Neodiprion lecontei: one gene and its partners. The protein of the gene in region 3 purifies or fractionates together with the protein of the main gene of each other region. This does not show direct contact. Links are inferred from orthologs where the notes say so. Each region holds a gene or a part of one and is shown on either strand. Other genes may lie near its edges. The genes, in order: nucleolar GTP-binding protein 2, nucleolar GTP-binding protein 1, cell growth-regulating nucleolar protein and nucleoplasmin-like protein.

Evidence for each region.
Region 1: the proteins of cell growth-regulating nucleolar protein (region 3) and nucleolar GTP-binding protein 2 purify together in Homo sapiens (affinity purification with mass spectrometry; 3 studies listed by BioGRID and IntAct, with this or other methods). This does not show direct contact. The link is inferred for Neodiprion lecontei from reciprocal best matches to the Homo sapiens genes LYAR and GNL2.
Region 2: the proteins of cell growth-regulating nucleolar protein (region 3) and nucleolar GTP-binding protein 1 purify together in Homo sapiens (co-immunoprecipitation; 3 studies listed by BioGRID and IntAct, with this or other methods). This does not show direct contact. The link is inferred for Neodiprion lecontei from reciprocal best matches to the Homo sapiens genes LYAR and GTPBP4.
Region 4: the proteins of cell growth-regulating nucleolar protein (region 3) and nucleoplasmin-like protein purify together in Homo sapiens (affinity purification with mass spectrometry; 3 studies listed by BioGRID and IntAct, with this or other methods). This does not show direct contact. The link is inferred for Neodiprion lecontei from reciprocal best matches to the Homo sapiens genes LYAR and NPM1.

What each region holds. Positions count from the first base shown.
Region 1 is NC_060265.1:21,565,528-21,571,204, reverse strand, and holds nucleolar GTP-binding protein 2, read right to left. Parts: upstream 3,424-5,677; 5' UTR 3,264-3,423; intron 2,926-3,263; 5' UTR 2,921-2,925; coding exon 743-2,920; 3' UTR 631-742; downstream 1-630. Other genes in the region: actin-interacting protein 1, read right to left, coding at 109-124; trypsin-3, read right to left, coding at 5,260-5,406, 5,475-5,624. UniProt on the Homo sapiens protein: GTPase that associates with pre-60S ribosomal subunits in the nucleolus and is required for their nuclear export and maturation.
Region 2 is NC_060263.1:16,127,296-16,133,262, forward strand, and holds nucleolar GTP-binding protein 1, read right to left. Parts: upstream 4,091-5,967; 5' UTR 3,978-4,090; coding exon 3,930-3,977; intron 3,660-3,929; coding exon 3,385-3,659; intron 3,268-3,384; coding exon 3,030-3,267; intron 2,937-3,029; coding exon 2,694-2,936; intron 2,618-2,693; coding exon 2,363-2,617; intron 2,293-2,362; coding exon 2,005-2,292; intron 1,915-2,004; coding exon 1,636-1,914; intron 1,517-1,635; coding exon 1,373-1,516; intron 1,291-1,372; coding exon 1,135-1,290; 3' UTR 1,061-1,134; downstream 1-1,060. UniProt on the Homo sapiens protein: Involved in the biogenesis of the 60S ribosomal subunit. Acts as a TP53 repressor, preventing TP53 stabilization and cell cycle arrest.
Region 3 is NC_060265.1:31,636,501-31,640,975, forward strand, and holds cell growth-regulating nucleolar protein, read right to left. Parts: upstream 2,259-4,475; 5' UTR 2,248-2,258; coding exon 2,123-2,247; intron 1,994-2,122; coding exon 991-1,993; 3' UTR 910-990; downstream 1-909. Other genes in the region: EP300-interacting inhibitor of differentiation 3, read left to right, coding at 64-182, 255-320; nucleolar complex protein 3 homolog, read left to right, coding at 3,980-3,985. UniProt on the Homo sapiens protein: Plays a role in the maintenance of the appropriate processing of 47S/45S pre-rRNA to 32S/30S pre-rRNAs and their subsequent processing to produce 18S and 28S rRNAs. Also acts at the level of transcription regulation.
Region 4 is NC_060260.1:25,711,603-25,718,757, forward strand, and holds nucleoplasmin-like protein, read right to left. Parts: upstream 5,213-7,155; 5' UTR 5,031-5,212; coding exon 5,009-5,030; intron 4,721-5,008; coding exon 4,605-4,720; intron 3,871-4,604; coding exon 3,657-3,870; intron 3,159-3,656; coding exon 3,082-3,158; intron 2,812-3,081; coding exon 2,737-2,811; coding exon of another isoform or gene 2,710-2,736; exon of another isoform or gene 2,491-2,709; intron 2,107-2,490; coding exon 1,999-2,106; 3' UTR 1,049-1,998; downstream 1-1,048. Other genes in the region: nucleotide exchange factor Sil1, read left to right, coding at 5,514-5,649, 5,929-6,206, 6,299-6,537, 6,772-7,155. UniProt on the Homo sapiens protein: Involved in diverse cellular processes such as ribosome biogenesis, centrosome duplication, protein chaperoning, histone assembly, cell proliferation, and regulation of tumor suppressors p53/TP53 and ARF.

The DNA of each region.
Region 1 (5,677 bases), about 10 Mb from region 3:
AAGTATGAACGGTAAACTGCTACGACCGAGGGATTCGAGGAGGCGGTGAACATAAATAGCGAGCACAATGAGTGGTAATTTTGCGGAAAGCTTGAAAATACTACTTACTCGTTTCATATGACATTTCTACCCTTGTATGCCTCGCGACCGGCCGCTAATTAGTATGAAAAATACGTAAACCCGGTGAATCTTCACACACGGGCTTGATTTGTCACCTGAGTCACGTATCAGTCGCGTATCACCACCACAACCGCCTCTCCCCCACTTTCGCATCTGGTATATTTGTCCCGCCCTTCGCCTTATTTGGTTGGATCATGAACTATGTGATTAAGAATACGTGAATGTAGACTTGGAAAACTACCGAAGTCTGGTGGCAACTCCTAGTACTAGAATACGCGTTAAAGCAGAGATGAGTAGGTCTCTGGTTAAAGGTTCTTTTTTGAATTTCAAAAAGACTGGCAAGCTAGTGCAGCATATGCAGTTGAGTTTCTCCAAAGCGTGAGATGCAATGAGATGAAATTTCGACAGTAGTTTTGTCATCGACTGAAGATATGGTAAATCCGTTGACTTGTATCTTCAGTCAACTCTTTAGCATTATGCAATTGTAAATGGGTGAAAATTACTAGAGAATTGAGTATTTACACTTTTTATTCGGTAAGGATTAGGGAAACAACGTTGGCGTGGCAAACGTATTATTACCCGGGCAATAGGTCAAACTGTAGCAGATAACAAAGTGCTGGGTTTATCTTGTCTTCGGAACTTTTCTGTTTCTATTTCTGTTCTTTACATTAGTAACTTCATAGAAATCGCTTCCTATTTTCTTTCTCTTATTTGATCTCTCCATAGCTCTTCTTTGCTTACTAGTTAATTTCTTTTCATTTGGATCTGTTTTTTCTTTTTTCCTTGGTTCGTCAGAGACGCTGAATGTACCGCTGCTGGAGGTTGTTTTAATCTCTCTAACTTCACTATCACTAGAATCGTATTCTTCTTCTACAACATCGAAGGCACTTTGCATCAAGCTATCTTTCTCAGGTCCAAAAAACGTCTCATCATCCTTTAATGAATCATTCTCTTCTTCAGCATTTGCTGTTGTTTTGTATTTCTTACTTCCAGACTTTTTCAGGTCATTTCTCTCTTGGTGTAACAACTCTCCTTCACCATTATCTTCTTTTTCTTCTTCATCTGCTTCTTCTTCTTCAGATTCACTAGGCGGCTGAGAGTCATCTGCAGACACAGCTGAACTTGTATTATTATCCTTATCATCGTTCTGAATAGTTCCGGTTTCATCAGCAAAAACATCTCTGTTGTCTTCACTTGAGAATGTCAAACCAATTCTGATCTTCCTGTAATCTTGGACAACATTAAGTGACAATTTGACAGGTTCTTTCACTGCCTCATTCTCAGTTTCCTCATTTTTATCCGAAGTAATATCTTCGTTTATTTCATTCGATACTTCAGCAACAGTCTCCTCTTCCGTTGCCTTCTTAGGTAATGGATTTTCAAATCCCACAGGTGGGACAAAGAAAGGAAGCTTTCCGCGTTGCCAGTCGTTAAGAACCATTCGTGCTGCTATTGCTACGTCAGGTTCTCCGCCTTTTAATAGTTTGCCAGTCCGACGTGCTAGTTTTTCCAAGAAGTCTATGTGGTCTGACCATTCGTCGAGTTTGTAAGTCTTACGCATATATTCAGGTTTCACTCGTTCCAATACATGCGATATGTAGTCTTCAGGGTTAGTAATGAGTTCAACCCTAACAACGCCTTTCAGAACTTTTTCCGTATCTGTTTCGGCAGACGGATAAACAACGCCAGGACAATCGATGAGATATATGCGCCGCATCAGGGTAATGTATTGCCATACCTTGGTTTCTCCGGCAATCGGTGCAACTTTGCAGACTTTTTTAGATCTCAGAGTATTTATGATAGAACTTTTGCCTGTATTTGGGTAACCTATAAAGCCGACGCTAATTTGTTTCTTATCTCCATGCAGCTTTGCAAACTGACGTAGGAGATTAATCAACGAACCCTTTCCAAACGGATGAGTCAACGAGGCATGAAAAGCAAGGGTCGGATGTTCAGCACTTAATATTGCAACCCATCTCTGTGTGACCCAAGTTGGTACCAAGTCGACCTTGTTCAATATGAAAATTAAATGTTTATGGGTCTTTTCAGTTTTTAGATATTTTTCTACAGGTGGAGATCGAGTTCCCATTGGATCTCTGGCATCCAAAACTTGAATAACAACATCTGATGAGTCGATTACTTTATACAGTTCATTCCAAATTCTTCTACTTTGTCCTGCAGCCATAACCCAGTCTCTCTGTACATCTCGTGTCCCATCATCCGGTCTGATCAAATCATGATCTTTAGTGTCTTTCTCAGAGTTATATTTTTCCTCCTTCTCCTTAACGTGAGCCTGCATATCATCGTAGGTTGTAATGGGCAAATTAGGTCGCTTCCTAATTTTCTTCGGTCCAAACACATTTTGGAAACTCTCTGTATCGAGCAGATGTACCCTGGCATTAGCAGCTTTTTGTTGTAGTAAAGTAACGGGCAATCTGGTCTGTTTCATCACAACCTGATAAGGATCTTTCATAGCTGTTCCTAATGCACTTTGAAACTGTTGAAGAGCATTCTGAGAAACGACACGTGAATTTCCAAACCACCTTTGACTGGGCTCGACTCGAGAAACCGTACCAGATGCATGCCATCCTTGAAATGGAGCTGGACTTATAATTTTACCAACTCTATTACGCTTTGGTTTCGAATTACGATACATTTGCAGCCTTTTAATTGTCGCCTTCGTTCGAGGCTTCGCTACACCTTTGAGCCCTTCGGTCGATCTTTCAGGATTCATACTGTGCCCCGATCTGTTGAATCCCTCCTTCCGTGGAGCCTTACTAGCAGAATGTGATTTCACCATTTTTTCTGAAAACATCATACCAAGAATAAAATAAATTTAGTAGTTATTAGTATGGATGAAAAAGTTGTTGGTAGGTTATGTCAAATAACGTTAAATAATAATGTAGCTTTTTCTCCAGTATAAACAGATTTTCAGAACGAAGTATTTCACAGCTAGTTCTGCGACATTCATATTACACGTGTTGTTGGGAACGTTAATAGATATTACAAACAAATTTTATAATTGACGTTAAAAACACGTGTTAATCAACTTAACCTCAAAACTGCATAATGCCCATACGCAAGGCGTTTGGACACCAATCGATTATTACTGCCCACATGAAATTGTTCAAGTTAATAAATACCTGATTTACGTATTAGGTTCCTGGATTACAAAATATAGGAGCACCAAGTGCTACGACGAAGATAATATTTCCACCCTCAACCGCTACATGTAAGGTTAATGTTACTTATGAATCTTTGATATTCGTCCACAGCTGCCGTCTGGCGGCCAGTGCTTGCTGCACGTGCCATCAGCAACACAGCAAATCCGTGTAGCGGTGGCTAAGATACGCAATTATGCTGATACACTACGCATCCACACACGCATAAAATTATCGACATCTTATAAGGATTGATACTATTTTGTTGCAGCAAACGTTGACTAAAAGTATGTTAACGCCGTTTGGAATCAATGCATTTTCTTAAATTATCTTCAACGAGAAATTGAGTTCATAAATTTTTTTTAGGTAGCGAAAAATACCTAAAAAAAATATATTATTATCTAGGCATCAGAGTTTACAAACAGTGTGACTGAAACGAAGTATTTTTCCCTTAGCATCAAGTTTAACGTAGACATAATACATGGAAAAATATATTGCAGTATAAACGAAAAAATTAAAATGCTCCAATTTTTAATTGCAGACGGATTTAATTAATCTTGTAATGATAGGACAACGTCTGTGTCTTCCACAAAGACTTGTAAGTTGAGGTTCGCTGATTTTCAGTTTTACTAATAGTTTATTTATATTCGTAGAATTTAAATTGAAGCAACTGAATTCATCCCAAACAATCTTAATGAGAAGATTCCAAGAGATTCAGATTAAGGAGGTTCTCATAAGCTCTTCCTTTGATGGATTATTATTTCAACAGAAAGGAAAATCTAAAGGACATGCTAGATTTAAAAAAAACCTACCTATTCTCTACTGCTCAAAGGCAAACATCCTGAGCAATTACAGGAACCCACAGGGCGATCATAAATTATAGTTATCACTGCCATTCTGTCCTGCGCAAACATAATTTGTCAGTGGCTTATACCTTGTAGAATAGAAAACCTATAGGGACTCTGCTACCAGCTATTCACTACAGCTCAAAAGTAAATATCGTGAGCAATTATAGGAACTTACAAGCTGGTCAAATAATAGTTATAAAAGAAAATGGATAAATATAAGCTGTGTTGGTTTCGGAAATAAAATAATTTATGACTTCGGACGTGTTTCTTTCCCTGTTGTTGCGTCGTATAAAAAATTGTATTCACCACCGTGATGCTAATTTAATTTACTCACAATTAGAAATTTTTTCAGCGCATTGGAGAGGAATAATAATGGTCATTCAATCCGGAAGTCTGTATACTCGTGCTGTATACATCGATATAAATCACCACCAGTAATCACTCACAAAAATACATATGCAGCAACTCGTCTTTTACTATGAATACGGTACTATACGGTAAAATACAACTCCATTGTTTCCTAATTATTGGAGTCAAGGTATAAGAGGAGAATTAATGGATACTCTGGAAGTTATTTTTTTCAAATTGGTATCAGTCAAATGCTAGAAAATGATTAAACCGATGATTGAAAATGTAAGGTATATCCACATATCGTTTCGGAACGAGGAATCCGACGAATTACTTTCCCACGGCAGCAACGATACTATGTAAGAATCAACAGTAACAATTTGATCCACATTTTTGCGTTGCTGAATGAAACTGAACGCCTGGAACGCGTTCGAATAACTTTAACATTAAAAGTTTCTAGTTGGACTATTTGATACAGACACATCAATCATCATTTATGACATTAAGGTATCATCAATGATAACAATGGTATATTTTTCGTTCTTTAAAATGTCGATGCGGTTTCATAGCTGTAATTTTATATAGGTGCGTATGTACACTGAGACGCCCTTGACATGTATATTACGCCGGACACGACATTATACAATAATATCACTTAAATTCCAGTTTTGCGAGACGCACTAATCGTTCGCAAAGTGAATAAACACTGTACGCTTGAAATGAGTCTCTGATCCCGAACGGTTTATTGACAGTAAATATAGCGTGATTCAGCCATCTCCATCCTACATTCCAGAGTTTTCTCTGATCCAGTCGCGGAAGTAGGAAACTCTGGCATAGACACCGGGATAACCGGCAAGAGCGCATCCGCTGCCCCAGGAAACGGCACCGTGAAGAACTCCATCGACTACCAACGGGCCGCCAGAATCGCCCTGAACAATGGAGAACAGATTGATAATTAGCTTCGGCAGAATGAAGAAAATTACGAATTCGCACAAACCTGGCAAGCATCGATGCCACCCTCGGGAAAACCAGCGCACAACATGTCGTCGGTGATCCAACTTTGACCATAAGCAGTCGCACAATATTCCCGCGAAGTTACAGGAACTTCGGCGATTTGAACGATATCAGCCGCGGGGCCAACAAGCCACTGAAAAACCCGTTAAATAATCATTGTCGCATTTAGATATCTGGCTGTGAAAT
Region 2 (5,967 bases), on a different chromosome or scaffold from region 3:
CGAATAACGAGTCTGGCGTAAGCAAACCTCATTTCCGATCGAAGGTTTGAATATCGCGTTCCGCAGCTCGTTCCGAAAATCGTTTTCGTCGGTGTAGAAAGGAGTTTGGAACGTATATACGAGGCGTGTTTGTGCCTAGGCAGCTACTATGCGTTCATTCCACTAGCCGCGAGAGAATCAAATTGTTGTACGAAAAAAAAACAACATAAAAACGTTCATAAATAAACAATAACAGCGGGACGCTGGGTGCTTACCATATTCCGGAAATCATCGACACTATTGTCACTTCTGACAAACCCGCTGTTTCACCAAATTTCAAGAGTATTTATTCAAACCGATTCTAGCGTTCACTTTTCATTCCTCAAATACTAAAAACAAACATGGCGACGGCGTCACTTGAAAATACTACGAGGTAGCGCCGCGATGTTTTCGACAAATATATTCACCCCGACTTCGCTTTAGTCAATAAAATTGTATATTTCATTTTAATTGTTGTAAATTCACTTCTATATCTTGAGCGCAAAACCTTGCTGCATTTGTTGCCTTATTTATAAGCAGGCCTAGCCGACTTCAGTCACACTTCCGCCCGCAACGGCGCTACCTCGTGTCACAACACTGAGATTCGGATTTCGTCATCCATAAACTGCCTATCCCTTATTCGAACCGAATGAATCGCCTTACGTTATGTAACACCAAACATTTACTGCAAAGCGCGGTGAAATAATTTATCGTTATAATTGTAGCACCGAAGTTATTGAATAATTTCTATTTTACAGTATGTAAACTGTTTTAATTTTCTTTCATTTGGTTGATCTTTCATCTTTTTATACAACATTCCTACTCAATGTCAGAAACACTCGTTAAATTGTCGGCTCAAATGCGAAATTAGATGAAATTTTCGTTGATCGTTATCCTTAATTTATTATCGTTATAGATTATGTAATGCTATTTATTCGCAATTTTCCACTGATAATGCTAATGAAGAATCGAATTTCACAAGTATATGCCTGGATATTTAGTTTCCGCTGATTCTAGGTAGAAATAAAGTTTGCTAGTTACATAAGTATAACGCGTATACATATGTATTTACGGTGGAGCAGTTCTGATATAAAAATATATATATATAATATATATTTATCTCCTGTCCGTTTTTCCGACTCCTCGTTTCCCAGCGAACAAATGTTTCGGCATCTTTGTCCCGATGAATCGATCGGCTTCTCCTTTCAATCCCTTTTTGCCCACTTTCTTTGCCACTGCTTTGTGTGCTATGTTTTTTAACTTCATCTTCATCTGTGATAGAGAAACATAGAGTGTGTAATTAAACTACAGAAAAAAAAAAGCTGAACTTAAAAAATGAAACTTCAGCACTTACAACATTATCCTTAATTCCCATATCATTACGAGCTGGTCTAGAACTGCTACGCGCTCTAGACTGGGACTCGGATTGAAGTCGCATCCTTTTAGTGGCAGGCTGCGATTGCGATCTAGATCTCTTTCTGGTCCTGGTGAAGTTCGCCTGTCGAATATAATGGAGAATGATTGAAGAACGATAAAATGTTCATTGCATTTTTACCTAAAACACTTCTTTCTTATATTTCATATTCATACGCCTGTTGGAGGAATATGCCAACTTACATTTTCTGTGCCCTCCATATCAACACCCAAGTCTTCCATTTGATCACGGAGCTTGGTGACGGAACGATCTCGCACTTTTGAGCCAGCTGTGCGAGGCATAACAGGCTTAGTAGAGGCCTTTGCGATTCGTGCTTCGTCTTTCATGATGGCTTTGCGGTCCCGAATTTGTTTTGCCAAGTCGCGAATCTCTCGCATAGTTTCACTCAATTCCGGAATCTTAGCATCGTAAATGCCTGCCTCCTCCCGCAGGTTTTCTTCTTGCTCCAGAGCGTTCAATTTCTGTGCATAACAAAATAGGGATAACAATAATGGGAATATGATTTACAGCATTATTTTTCGCTTCCTAAAATCGATTCAATCGACGGTTACCTCGAAAATGTCGGGGTCTATGTAGTCCGCTACGTTGTGGCCTTCCCAGAACTCCGGAATAATGTCGTACTTTTGGTCCCCTTCAATGTCGTAATTTTTCTTCAAGTCCAATACGTAATCGTCGCCCATTTCCTCCTCGATCTCACGCTCCAGTTTCCTCTTTCTTTCGGTCTTTGCAGCTGCCAATTCTTTCTTTTTGAGAATATTTTCCGGAATGCAGGGTGGCCTCGCTTTTTGGTCTCTGGCAGTGGGCTGAGCTACATGTAATCGATTCAGGACAGATTCCATCTGTTGAATAAATATAATGAGCAAAATTCGCGAGAAATTCTGTTTCATGGTTATTGTTCCACAACTTTACCTTCTTCGTTCTCATTTTGAGCTCGACTCTGTGAGCCAACAGCCGATCGCAGGCTTGAGTCTTGACTTCCATGACCCCATAGTCAGTAATTGTGCTCATTTCAATTACCGGAAGGTCAGGATCGTCCTCGAAAGGCTTTAGAGTTTCACGTTTGTCTTCCGGCAGCTCCTCCAGTCGAAGAACATCAACTTTATTCAGAACGATCATCAGTGGCTTGTTTGTGAACAAAGGTTTGATGGACTCGAAAAGCTTTACCTGCATAGGTAATTAAGTTTTAATCACAAATGCACATAAAGTCACAGTCGGTGATATTTTCTTTTGAATAAATTACCTGTTCCTCTAACGAATGGCCGCACTGCTCAGATATATCAACAAAATACAAAACTGCAGCACGTAAATGTGCAAGCGCTGTGACAGCCTGCATTTCTATAACATTTCTCTCCTCTAATGGGTGATCTAAAATTCCGGGTGTATCTACGACTTGCCAGCGCAAATACTTATAATCTGTGTGTCCAACGTACAGTGATTTTGTCGTAAACGCGTAAGGCTGCACCTCGACGTCCGCTCGAGTGATCTGTTAATAAAATCAATCAATGTCTCAAAAGCTGTTGCTGAAAAATTAGCGATAATTAGACACATTTGCAAACCAGATTACGAGGTAATTCACCTTGTTTATGAAGCTACTTTTGCCAACATTGGGAAAACCGCAAATGATGATCGTGCGAGTATACGGATCAATGCTCGGCAATCGAGCTAAGTGCTGCCGAACCTGTTCTAGGTAAGTTAAATTTGCAGCCTGTCTTTTCATTATGGTAGCCATCCGACCCAGCGCAGCTTTCTTCAGTTGTTTACAACGATACAGGGAGTCTCCATACTTTAGAAGACGCACATAGTCTTTTGCAACGCTAAAAAAATTAGACGTATTAAATTTCAACACAGACAAGTTCTTCACTTTCGCGAGCTTGAAACGAGCAAATGTGGAAAAAGTATTAAATCGAATTATGAAAAAGAAGCATAATTACTTGTCGATCAAGTGGCGAGCAGTGTTAATCTGTCCCAGAGCCAGTTTGTAATGATCTTTGTCATACAAAACGTTCATGAGATCGGCATAGAACGGATGAACATCGTCGAGTTTTGGAAACTCTTGGATAATTTGGCTCATGCGATCGTGGAAATTTTGCTGGGTGAATTTCACCTTGCGAGTATAAAATGCACGGATTCTTGATATTTTGTAGTTTTTGTGTATGACGGTTGGTGTCTTGCGCTGAGTCTTGGATAAGATGATATCGATGAAGTCCTGTAAAACATCAGACAAGATGACATTATTAATCCTCGAAAAAATAACGGTGTGGACATGTCGATAACCTAAAAATATTGGTAACTTCAATTTTCAAGACTTCTGAATCAGTGAGTCGACGAGTCGGATTACAGAAGTGCGGATCGTTATTTGGGATTTATTGTGCAGTGTCAGAGAGTGAATGAAATTAGTACTTCTGGCTTGACATCAGAATTGAACGTGTCTTTTTGACTAGGTTAAGATTCGACGCTCAATCGAGGATCTGCTTACCTTGGCTGTCGGGACAACGGCGATCTTTTTGAAATTATACAGAGCCATTTTTACAGATGATTTGTCACTTGGGTGACAGCAAATATATGAAGAATATTGCTAATGTTACTGGGATTCCATCACGCACGTGCTGCACGACGTTCCCGAAAAGAAAGATGGTGTCGCGCCCTCCGTGGGATAATAAATCAACTAAGTTACCAGCATAGTGTAACATCCAACCGGAACGTCCGTATGTTTTATCGACTATTATTACTGCATGTTACTTTTATCAACTAACCAAACTCGAAGTATGAGAATCTTGTAACCATAAGGAATTAAAACAACTGTCTAACTATTTGGAATATCCCTAGATGGAAATAACTATGACATTCACTAACGAGATCTTCGCACTACAAAGAGCTATAATATTATTATACGTTATTACATATCACTATCATATTAACACCATAATTAACTAACACGATTATATCCAATTATTATATAGCACTCGACAATGCCATTTGTGCATTCGGAGCTGAGAGCTATACTATAAGCGACTTACGCTATACCATATAACCTGGAGTACGGAAGATTGTAAAACCATAGATAAATGTATAACCAATATAATGTAAAGATAGCACTGCTGCAATAATCCATAAAACCAGAGACTGCAAAACCTTCAAAACCGTGAATACTAATTATCCAGCATGAACTGTACCTTCCTCCGTAACGCCGTATTGTAGGCAACACGCGCAACGTTTTGAAGGCAATGCAGATCTCCAATGTGGAGCCATACAGAGCTTCATCTAGAGAACACATTAGGAAACTTACCGACGAAACGATTGAAGGTAAATCAACTCGCAATAAACTCAAAGATGCATACGTGGCAACGCCCAATGACAGGCAACCAACAAACATAAGAAAAACGTTCTAGAAGCTTCCAAGCCGATTTATATCAATATAAGAATTAATAATTACAGAAGAGAATTATATACGAAAGCACACATGTAAACCTGCTCTAAAACTATGGATTATCAAATTGTTAAATACCCTAAATTTGTTAAGATAATTATAACACAAACACCTAAGAATATTCGCAGCAGCGCGATTCTAATAATGTTAAGCAAACAGCAACTATGTCTCATAAACAATCGCTATTATAATCCAGGTGAATAACGACAGTAATCGATTATATTACATATGTAATTTTATATAGATACACGCTATAAAACTAACAAACGACGAGTAACCAATATGACATATAGACTTTGTAACGAACAGGATAGTAAGAATATTAGGAAGTAAACAGGAACTAGAATTAAGCGTATCGTGAGCCCGAAAATGCACACGGCACTAACATAAAACATGAGTCACCACTAGCGCATCCGCACTGCGATTACCATATTAGGAAATAGCTGCCGAAAGCACGAGACGGCGGGAAGAAGCACAGTAGCCGAGGGGCCAAGGGGGGCTTGCGCCCCAACAACAAAGCTCACGCAGAATGGAAAATTATAGAACAACGACCCCGCACCTACACCACCGCACCGGTGCAGCGTTATACCATATGTAAAAACTTGCAATATAGTAGTAGCTAATGAACTAAGATCACAGGCGTGCATGCGGCGAAGATGGCGTGCCCTAATTAGAATTCCTAAAAAAAGGGGGAGGTGCGCAAAAGGTGACAAAATATAAAAAAGGGGATCGTTCTGCGCAACGATCGACCCCTATAAAAACGGCGACCGATCATCCGATCGTCCACTTGGTTTCTATGACCAGATTCGTCATCTTGTTCGGGTACAGTCTCGCGGTAAAATCCTTTTGCCTTTTGCATTTAAACTTTTCATACAACGTTACTCTGCCCAAAAGTCCAGCGAGCTTTCAGCTCCATTTTGTCATATTAATTTAAGATCTTACACTAAGTAACTCCGTTTTTGTGACTTGAAATATTGAACTTATAAAATAAATCCAAGTTAATCAAAGTATCCGAATATATTAGAATCAGTTATTCCGTTAAATGCTCTCACCAATCTACGCTACAAGTCATCATATCCAGAGTATT
Region 3 (4,475 bases):
TAACAGCTGTTAGAAATATTTTTAGCTGTACAAATACTCATCTATACATATGTCATTGAACAGATAAGAGGGGAAAATTGGTTGTTCAGCCAAGTAGCAAAGAAGCATGTACTAATGCAAAACGAAAAGGAAACGATTCACATATTCAGAACGTAATGTCAATAAACGCAGGGCAGTGGCAAGTGAGTAGAAAGTATAATCAAATTCAACTTTGGACTAAAAGTTTGTCAACATCGTTTTACAATTTGTTTTAGATTCTAAAAGAAACATATCATCTGGATGGAGCCATGATTAATTTCACAACTTCTGTTCATTTGTAAACTTCTCCCAGCACGGGATTGAATCAAAAATCACGTTAATATGTCAATCTTCCATTTAAACAATAAACGTATATTTTATTTTTCACATGTTTAATTTTCATTGTTTTTATGATTTCTAACTCGTATGTACAGACCTCTGAGTAATAACCTCGCCCAATAAGCACGCTTCCCTAGTTTTTTGCTCACAGTGGTCTCCCACTCGAGCAGCAGGTCCTATTAAGAGGTAGCGGTGTGTAGAAGAAGACGGAAAACGATTGTTGCCGCTCGCGAGGAGAGCAAGATGGGGATACTTTATTTCCTAGAAAAACTTCCCCTTAGGAGCCTGGACGGACTTATAGAGAGGTCCGACTGTACTTGTCATATATCTCGAATACTGTACATTTTGGGAAGATATGCCAGCTTATTAAGTAAGTGCTGTTATAGTTTTAGGAAAAATTTCTTAGTGGCTATTCATGTATCACGTACGATATTTGTAGGCGGAATAGTGGCTGGATCAGTTATTTGTTACTTATTATTTGGGAGGAGGGAAATGATTAAAACAATATAGAAGATATACCACCGCATGCAAATCAACAAATAACGCAAATAATTTAGGATGAATGATATTGAATCAAAATTCCCTTATTTTTATTGTGGTTGTTTTCTTTACAAGATGTTGTCTGTCTAGATATCACTTTGTCAGTTTGACTTTTCCATCTTCGATAACAATCTGTGTCATTCTATTAATTTTTCTGTCAAATTTAGCAGCAGCATTTCCTTTTAGTACTGTAACTTTACTATATATTTGATACTGTCGCAAAACTTTTTTTCTCAATTTCCTCAGAGAAACTTCCTTTTTAGAGTAAAGTACCTCCAGTATAGCATCACTCCAGTTAAATTTCTTGACTACCATTTCGTTATTATAGGAAATATTTTTAGAATTGTTCTGACTCATTGCAGTTGTTAAATTAGTACTTTCTAATTCATCACCTATAAGTTTTTTAGACTTTTTACTTCCAACGCAATTTTCTTCCATACCTATTGAACATAAATTTTGCTCGAAATTTTCACAATTTCTATTGTCACTGTGGACATTTTCCTTCTTCTGATATTGCATTTCTTCAGGTATTTTCCGCTTCAGTGATTTTTTCGATTTATTGCTACTGCTATTATCAGTTGTCTGCAGGCTGATTTCACAACTTTGATTCTCCGAGTTCCCACTGTATTCGGCATTAGGATCTGCTGTTTTATATTCATTGGATAAGTTTTCGTTGTTCTCATTTTCCGATATATCTGTCTGAATCAACGGTGTCACTACATTATCTTGAGCGACAGAACAAACATTAGTATTTGTAGGAGCTTTATTCACTAAAGTTTTTTTGAAGGCTTCTTCCATTTTAGTCCATATACTCTCGAGGACTGTCAAGTTAACTCGACCGGCTAACATGCTTTTCATAAAATTAAAAAACTTTGCTTTTTTTCTCGGCACATTGTCATGATTTGACAATGTATTAAGAATGTTCCTTTCAGCGGCAGATAGGTTTTCTGAATTCTCAATGACAGCATGTACTACTGCAACCCAATCTTGTTGTTTTTGCTCTCCTTTATTTTTGCTCGGCCGGAGGACAAAGTCTTTTCCACCGTACCGCTGCGCCTCCGTTATGCATTTGGTGTGTTTGACAAACTCTTGTCCCCTATACATGGAATCATACATCATCTAGCACACAGATTATGCAAGGTATATTACAAATTATTCATATTTCTAATTGTATTCTAGTTTTTTTGTTTTATAAATCAGATAAATTCACCCAACTGGAACGTACCGAAAATCTTGGAAACAATCCATGCAACTGACTGAAATGGAATTTCTGCACTTGAATTGAAAGTGTTTTCCGACTTTAGGCTTCTTTATTGCCTCACCACAGTGAGTACACGTGAAAAATACCATTTTTATGGATAAGCACGTGCCGGAGAATCATGAATGCAAGTATTTTTTTCTCCAATTTGCTCTGTCGGGATTTGCTTCGACTGGCAACTGTTGACAGCATAAAAGTAAACTAACCTACAAGTTAAATATACCGTTTTAAAAATGAGCTATAATTGTTGGGTAAAATAAACTCAGGTCGTTGTAAATCATAGGCCTAGTGGTAGATTTACTCACTCGAATTGAGGTTAAATACTGCGTGGTAATCCAAGATGCCAAGCTTCAAGCACGAAGTGAGAGGGAAGGAGACCGAACTCCGATCCCAAAAGTGGGATCAATTTTCCAGCGATGAGTGAGCAGTTCGCTGCGAAGAATAACCGAGATGACAAGTCACGCATGCGCAGTACGATTAGCTGCGTCTTTGTATCTCTCGCGTAAAGTGCGAGTGAGACAGTTTTGTTGTTGTGACAGCAAGTTCATGAGGTTATGGTGCGTAATAATTTCTTGGCATAATGATAGAATCACAAATATCGCTTTATTATTTGCAAAAAAGAAACGTGAATACGCTGCGAAGTCAGAAATCATAGGTGCGTATTTTACGAACGTTGTTTATGGAACTTTAAGCCGTAAATAGTGGAGCATTTGAATCATTCTGGACGTTCTTACAGATATGGAGCAAGTACTTAATGAATTTAATTACACGTATTTGAGGAAAAAGCTATGTGTAAGTATTTTACCAGCACCAAGTTGGGGTTTTACACGAGGAGATCGCACATTTTTTGGTCTACAAAAGATTGAAAAGGATTGCTGTTTTACCAGATATGCACGTTGAAATATACATAGACAATAAAATTTGGCCGCTCTGAGAATGTATTATCCTTGTTAATATGGATCAGTTTATTGTTCTTCTAAACAACGTAGATAAAATGCCTTTGCCAGATCATTAGGATATTGAACAACCATTTTTTACACTCATGCTTTAAATGTAAACAATTTATCAATCATGTTCAATACGAAAATTGTAAATGGTAAATAGGAGAATCAGGATATATACAAGTTTTACATAATAGAAATTCTCAGCTACAGTGATGAGAATTAGGAGATAAGGTTAGGATGTAGAATATAAGGATTCACAAATTAGATATATACATAAAAACGATATTTCTTGCTTGTTGTTGGCAATTTCAATTTATTGTACAATCTGGTAATAAACATAAACAGAAGTATAATTTTGTTTTACCATCACTCTATGATCACGTTACGTACCGAGGGAGCTTTAAACAACGTGTGATTGTTATTTTTGTCTTTATATTTGGTTTTGCACTGCGGTACACGACACGCTGACATCTTACCGTAAAAACTAACCTCACTGTCATAACAAAACTATCTCACTCGCACTTTACGCGAGAGAGATAAGGACGCAGCTAAGTCGTACTGCGCATGCGTGACTCGTCATCTCCGTTATTCTTCGCAGCGAACTGCTCACTTTTTTATCGCTGGAAAATTGATCCCACTTTTGGGATGCGGCCTCGGCAGAGTTCGGTCTCATTCTCTCTTATTTCGTGTTCGGAATACACCCAGCATTGAATGTTGTCCCGCGGTCATCAGCGACATCAGCAGAGATCAGCCTGCTCGTGAGTTAACGATCCCGCGTCGTCCACGTGCTTTGGGTCAATTTTGAAATTCATTGACGCTGGAAGTGGTGTCTGCATAAAAGTAGCATTTACTCTTTCTGTTTGAAAACCATTGTTCTGATATGGGGGTAAGTCAAGTGAATTCAAATATATATTTGCACTATACAATTCTTCTTCACCCGATTGCACAAGGTGACATAACCTAATGGTGCAACGCGCCATACTACACATCTGCTCATTGCATCAAAAATTATATACCGTATTATGGATTCCCGGAAATTCACACTTTCGACACTTGTAGAGAATTGTGATTTCTCACATTTTAGCTTGTTCTTACGTAAATGTTCTTAAAATCAACAGTAATAACTATATTTATGTCTAAGTTAGCTTGAGATGAATTAAAACGTATTTTCCAGAGGTCTTAGAATAGTAAACAAAACCGATTCGTCATAGTACGAGTGCGCGGTATTGAAAATTAGGTACCGATTTTCATTACGGGTTTCGTATTCGGTAGTTTGGGTTAACCGAAATATCGAAATGTCGGTAGACTTTAATCTACAAATATCGTCGGAAAAAAGATTAAGAAAAATCTGTATTGAACTGTACTAAATAACTTTA
Region 4 (7,155 bases), on a different chromosome or scaffold from region 3:
CGCTCAAGTCGACACTTTGCATCTCCGAGATGTCAAACGTGTCTCGAGACGCACACATGCTGGTCCTCGACGTTTTCGGCGACTTTGAAAATCTCCTATAATTTATACATAATTTTACTTTTTTTAAATAGCTGAAGACTTTAAGATCTAGGCAATATCAATCAATTCGATCTTGAAGAGCGATTCTTTGCGAGTTCTGTACATATTGCTTGCTAATACCGAACTAATTGTAAGTCTACTTTTATCCCCGTAGATAGCAAAAATCACTCGACAAGGTCGGCTAAGTACTTGGTGGATACATAACTAGAACGTACCCCGATGGTTTCGATTCGAAATTTAGGTACATGAATGATTCCCAAATGTTTGAGGTTTGACGTTGTTAGTAAAAAATTTGAAACCCAAGGAGGCCCAACTTTTGTTAACCGTTAAAACCAATGTTTACGTATCCAAAACAATGATGAACTTTGATATAAAGTGATGCACACATTTTACGTTCGGTAGACTTAGGCTAATATGTAACAATTTTTTTCTATTATTTTTCCCACAGTGATAACTCCTGCCATTTAACTGTCAACCTATCAACTCTGAGCAAGACATGTGACAGTCATAAACCAACCTTAGAAATTTTCGTGGAAGTAATCCCGTATTTGAAAATGTTTTCTTCATCGAGGTCGTAAAATGGCAGGCCAGAAGACCTACGACTATAAAATTCCAACCACACCAACTTCATCCCAGCATAATTATTCCTTCGAATATATTTACAAAATATCAAATATTTCAAGAGTAAAAGTAGTACAAATTATTAATATGACTATAACTATAGAATATCAAACAACCGATCGTTACTATGATCCCACTGATTTTTACCTGGCTCCAACTGTTCAAGGCCGTGGTTCAAAGTGTTAACTACCCACACCACTTCATATTTTCTTGAAAATTAGACCTCGCGCGGATAATGGGAGGTTTGACATAAAATTTTTCAAACAAGAAAGTGTTTTCTAAGTCTAGTCACGCACTGTACAAATTTACATAATAAATTAATATTAAGTAAAAGTTAAGTGAAATTTTTATTGTATCGTATATGTACAAAAGAGTATACAGACGTATGGGCACGTAAGTGGAAAACACTGTGTATAACACATGTTAAATAAGAACGGTGCGCCGTGCATATAGTGTCTGTCTGTACGCCGGCTATTACTTTTCTTCAAATGGAATGAATATCGAGAGATGACAATGTTCTGTTTTAACTCCTTCTAATGGTCATAAAATTAATCAAAGACCTCGTTTAGTTCAAAATAAATATACTAGATCAGTGGGATAAAAATTCCGTCATGATCTTTATAAGAAGTAAATATGATTATCAAGTGGTGTTATAATATAGCTTTGTGTTTTCTGACTGGAAGTCGAGCTGCGGAAGAGTAGGATTAAAACATGCGTCAATCTGTCTCCGTCTGTCTGTCAGTCTATCATTTGTCTAGCATTCGGATTCACGAACTTTCAAATCTGAGCTGTAGATTGCTATTCCGATGTTCAGGGAGACGCAGAAGCGTTAAATACTGAAGAGTCGAACTTGCATTGCCTTCTATATAGACTTATTCCTCGAAAATGTGTTCTCACTGATGACCTTGTCATGGCTCCGCGACCCTTTTATAGTCGCTAGAATAAAATACATATTCATCTTATAGGTATTTTTACACAAAATTAGTCTGGAAATCTTCAAGTAACGCATTAATTCAGTAAGGTAACAGATTGTGTGCCTAATATCTGTGATCTTTTTCTCTTTGCTTTTGCTTCTTCGTTGCTTTCGATTGAAGAACAATTGTTATCATGAAAAAAATGTACACAACCCAGCCTCAAGATTTTAGAATCCGTGAATGGATAATGAATGGTCTCTTTTGACTATCAGATGAAACGATACTGTAACACGCAAAACGCGAATGATGATGAACTTACATTCAAGAGCCTAGCCTAGGATGTGTTGGTAATAAAACCACGGATTTATTTTTTCTTATTCTTGTTAGCTTGATTTTTGTTTTTAGCTGGGGTCGCTAATTTCGCATTCTTCTTTTTGGGCTCTTCTTCTTCGTCTTCTTCATCCTCAGGGTCCTAAATCAAAAACATCAAAGAAATTAATGAGAGCAGATTCCGATTACGCATTCTGTTCTAATAATTCAATCTAGTGTAGAGACAATAGTGTCATAAATCCAGACCGATCAGTCTTAACTACTCAAATAACAATTCATTATTTTATAAATTAATAGTTATATTATTTTTACCGTCGAGTAACAAAACTCGTAGTCGTAAAAGAAAAAATTATAAAACCTAATCTGTGATCAAAATTATGTATCATAAAACCCTGAGAAACAAAATTTAATATTACAATGACCGGAAAGTAGTCAAAGATGTATAGACAACATTTAGAGTAGGCCCATTATATTGCACACTGCCAAGATGGTAGGTAGTGAAATAAAATGCAAAATCTAAAAACAATTATTCCAAAGACGTTGTTTATTTTTCAAAAAAATTAAAACTTAAATTATTTTGATGTAACATAGACAAGTACATCTGTACGTTTCAAAGTTACCATTATCATCACTCTAGTCTGGTGAAATGAAGAGTTGATGATTAAAACGAATTTAATTGATGTTTGAAATGTATAGTCTGTATTTAACGTAAGATATGTAAAACTTATTGCTAGGACCAAGCATGCTATTTTCGATAGTTCTCCTTGTCTACCTCCTCATCCATCTTGGCGCGTTTGGTGCCATTTTTTTTACCCTCGCCAGAAAGTTTCCGTTTCTTATGCGAGGCCTGAAATATTAATTCCCATTCACATAACGTATGATGGTCTCCTAACTTCTAACCATACTCCTTCAGTTTTGTACCGATTGTTAAGATAACGTATTGCTAACACAAATCCAATTTCAGAATTTTTGTTTACAATACGCTTAATTTGCTTTTGCACAATAACCAATGGTCTGAATCAATTGTAATTACGAATGGGTTATTTATTTTCAAAATTGACAATTTTTAATTGAAAAACCCTGGCTAAAAGCTGTAAAATTTTAGATTTATATTCACCTTCTCATCATCTTCGTCATCGATGTTTTCTTCCTCCATTTCGTCCTCCATGTCTTCAAATTCATCCATATGCGTCCCTGTAACGAATAATCGAGTTTATTAATGCATGATATATTCACACAATATATTCTTATACAATACAGTGCAAATAAAACTGTAATCATAGTTTTTTGATCACTAAAATGAGATGAAGCTGAATTTAGTGACTTCAGTCAGCAGCCGATGTAGTAAACTTTTTTTTAAAGATAATCATACATAAATTTCAGATCCGATGATTCTATGAAAGTACTAAATATTCATGAGATTCAGTGAAATTTCAATTGCTAGGCTTCATTTCCAAATTTTTCAGCATAATTACTATTCGTCGCCATTGACTCTGGTCACTAGCATCAGTTCATTAAAATGAAACATTTTCTCATTAAATACGATAGTCTATAAAAGATTGCGGCCAAATGGTGTCTCGCAAACCTTGAGCGTGCATCGCTGACACAGCTGGTAGTGATGTTGCAAGTGTTATTAGTCCAAATATATCAGGAGTGAAGGAAGATTAATCTACGAAACAAAATGAAACTTACCAAGGAGATTGTGTCCTACTATATGGACTGGACCGCTGCCTTTGATTAAGGTGAATGTGACGGGTGGATCAGGGAAACTTAGATCGAGGATGATTTGTGCAGTTTTGCCCAGTTCCAATAAGGCAATTGGGATTTTAATTGGACCTTTGAGTCCCATCGCCTCAACTTGTAGTACGTTTAACTCGCCAGCTTTGGCCTCAGGTCCCAGAAGTGCCTGAAGTCACAAAAAAAAGATATAGATAATGAACCTCATCGGATTATATTGACCATATTCGTAAGCTAAATGTTAGTGTTGCAATAAACTGATGAACTATTAATATTAAATAAACAGTACTTTCAAAGCTTGCCTCAAGGCTGACATACTTTTTATCAGAAATTGAAACGTGTTACTGTTTATTCTTGATCGCTCGTCATTCATAATTTTTTAAATAAAAACAGCAGCTAGTTAATGTCGACTCAAGCTTAAATAATTTACATTATAGATGTTGATCTTACAACTTGCAACGATTAAACAATCAATTAGCTTGTCAAAATTTAAGTACAGATTTTCTTTTTGGGATGACTATACTTATTATATTGATGCAACTTATCAGAAACAAATAGGTATACAATAGCAATGAATTGGATATTTCAGAGTTTTTTCGAATGACAATAATTTAGAAGATGAATGCAAATGGCGCCAAAATGCGTTAAAAACAGCGATAACAATTTTCAAGGACAAAAATCATCGATTGTTGACACACTGACGTGTTATTTATAAATTTTTATTTCTGGTTTGTTCTAGGATCAAATTTTGCGTGTTATAAAGGTTGAGAATGTGAATCGGCAAAATTGCGTACGCACGGCGACAATGGCGCTAAAGATGGGTAACACAAAATGAATCAAACAGTAGCTGATGAAGTGTAAAAAATTAGATACTTGATTACCAGATTGACAATTTCAACTCACCATTTTGATAATGAGTTTTTGGTCAGCGCCAAAATGTTGATTAGCACCGTCAACGTCCTCGTTTTTGTGCTCAGGATCCCAGACCTCGGTGGCATTGGGTCCTTGCAAAGTGATTCCTGCATACAAATTGACGCAAGACTTGAAGAATGTAGTTTACGCATAATTTAAATCGACATAATAATCATTCTGTGGCACATCGACGATGAGAGAAATAATGAATGGTATAATAACCAAGATTTTTGTACAAAGACAATGGATTCGCCTGCATAATGGCCGATATTCTGCCGGCGTCCACACGTAGGCATACAACGGTGTTAAAACAACGGTATGTATCGAAAGTATTCGCTATTTATGGAAAATAAATAAATCAGCATATCCGTTAAGTCTTAGAGTATAATATTTACCGTATAAATATTCCTCAGCCATGGCGATCGATTAGATATACACAGATTCAAACGTTTTGAGTTGCGGGTCTGAAGCCGAGGGACGCCGCGTAACTGGGTAGAGACTCGGAATGGTCACACGTGTTTGACGATCTCGCAGCAAATGAGTTTCGCGTCCCTCGGCTTGCGCGCCTAGAGTACGTTCCACCTTCTGATTGGGTCCTGCCTCCAAACTTCTGCGGTCATTCCGACGCGCTATTGGTCTCGAGACGGCACCTGGCGACAGAAGTGACGAACTAGGTTTTGCAAAACGACTGCATTAATAAGATAAATTTTCTCAACAATAGGCAAACGGTTTGTAAAACGTGACAGCGCGAGTGCGTGGTATTGAAAAACCCTTGTAAATATTATTAACGGGTTCTCGTGTCGCTTAGAACGGATATTTAATTCCTATATGAGTAACCGTATATTCTAGAAGAAATCCGGCACCTGCTCACAGCGCCTATTCGACACGTTCTCTTGGAAAATGCGTTACGTGTGCGATCTATGCTTGTTTATCATAGTCTCGTATCTCTGGATCAACGATATCGTAGCTTCGGAGAAAGGATCGAAAAATGACAGTGTATTTATACCCACCAAAGAATGGCAAGTCGTTGAAAAGGGTAGGTCGAGAAACGGGACTACTTTTCTCGCACTTGACGTGTGCTTACAACGTCAGTCAAGTACACAGGCCTCGTGCGATTGCATAAATTGATCGTTTACCAACGAGAGATCGGCATATGGCTCATAGATCATTCGCCCTATTAAATTCCCCACTTTACACGGTGCGATAAGATTCGATACGCCGTTATATTTCACATTTTGAAAGCTTTTTCGGGGTTTGAGGCTTCTCGATTATTCGACGAATCCCGCGCTTCCTAACGAACGCTAATAATTTTCAGGCACACCAATCCCAAAAGGTCTTCATGTTCGGCATAATTTTCAAACTGGCATTACAGAAGCAAAACTGATGGAACCCAGCGAGAAAGAAATTTCGGATAACGATGAAATGCGCAAATCCGTAGCCCTACATCCAGACGCGGAGAATTTAAAACCTTCGGAAATTAATGATGGACAGATTCAGCACGATGATAGGACTTTGAAAATATCTGGGGAAGAATTAAAAACCGAATTGAAAAAAATTAAGTCTAACAAGACTCCTTTCGCACGGAAACCCAAAGTAATTCGTCGCTCAAATCTATCTTAATGTCAAACAGGAAATAGTCGCATTTTCCACATTACTGACATCTTATTTTCCTTTCTTTTCTAAAGCGTGCCAGGTTCCAGAGCTTTGATGAACTGAAGAAGGAGTATGAGAACATAAACTTTGGCCCGTCAACCGACGTTGATTTATTAGGTATTTTCATTGAACAGTTTGATACTCATCGAACTGCAATTACGTCCGGATCACTAGATGCCAAAGAGATCAAAGACATCATGGATATATTGGGTCAGTTAGAATACCTGGTCCATGACATTGACAATGGGCTCGAATTCACCAGATTCGGAGGGTGCGTACAGTCTACATTTTACAATTTTTGAAATTGTGCATGGAACTGTTTGAAATAGAATTTAGCATTTTCACGTTTTTCATTTTCCATTCATCAAATCTGTTGCTTCTAGTCTGAAATTAATACATCGCTCTTCATCTGCCTTCTAGGAAAACTTTACTTGTGCCAATTCTTATAGTATTAATTCGTATCATATAACAATCGGTCTTCACTTTACATTGTAAATATTTTCAGCCTGATGAAAGTGATACACCCTTGTCTCAATGGCACAATAGAGGAGATCAAGTGTGAAGCCCTTCATGTCCTCGGAGCAGCTGTACAGTCAAACCCGAAGGTGAAGGAAATAGCACTGGAGTCGGAATTTGTTCCAATCATTTTACGCATGTTGACAAAACACGGCACCTCGAAGTTGATGGATCGATGTATATATGCACTGGGTTCCCTGGTCCGGAACTACCCAGCTGCACAAAAAGCACTACTGAGTCACGGCGGCTTAGAAATATTTTCTCAGGTTTTGGCAGATGGTCCCATATCTGCACAGAAACGTATAATGAACCTGGTTAACGATTTGATCATCGAAAGGGAAAATTTAAATGAAATCGAAGACTTGGAGCGCCG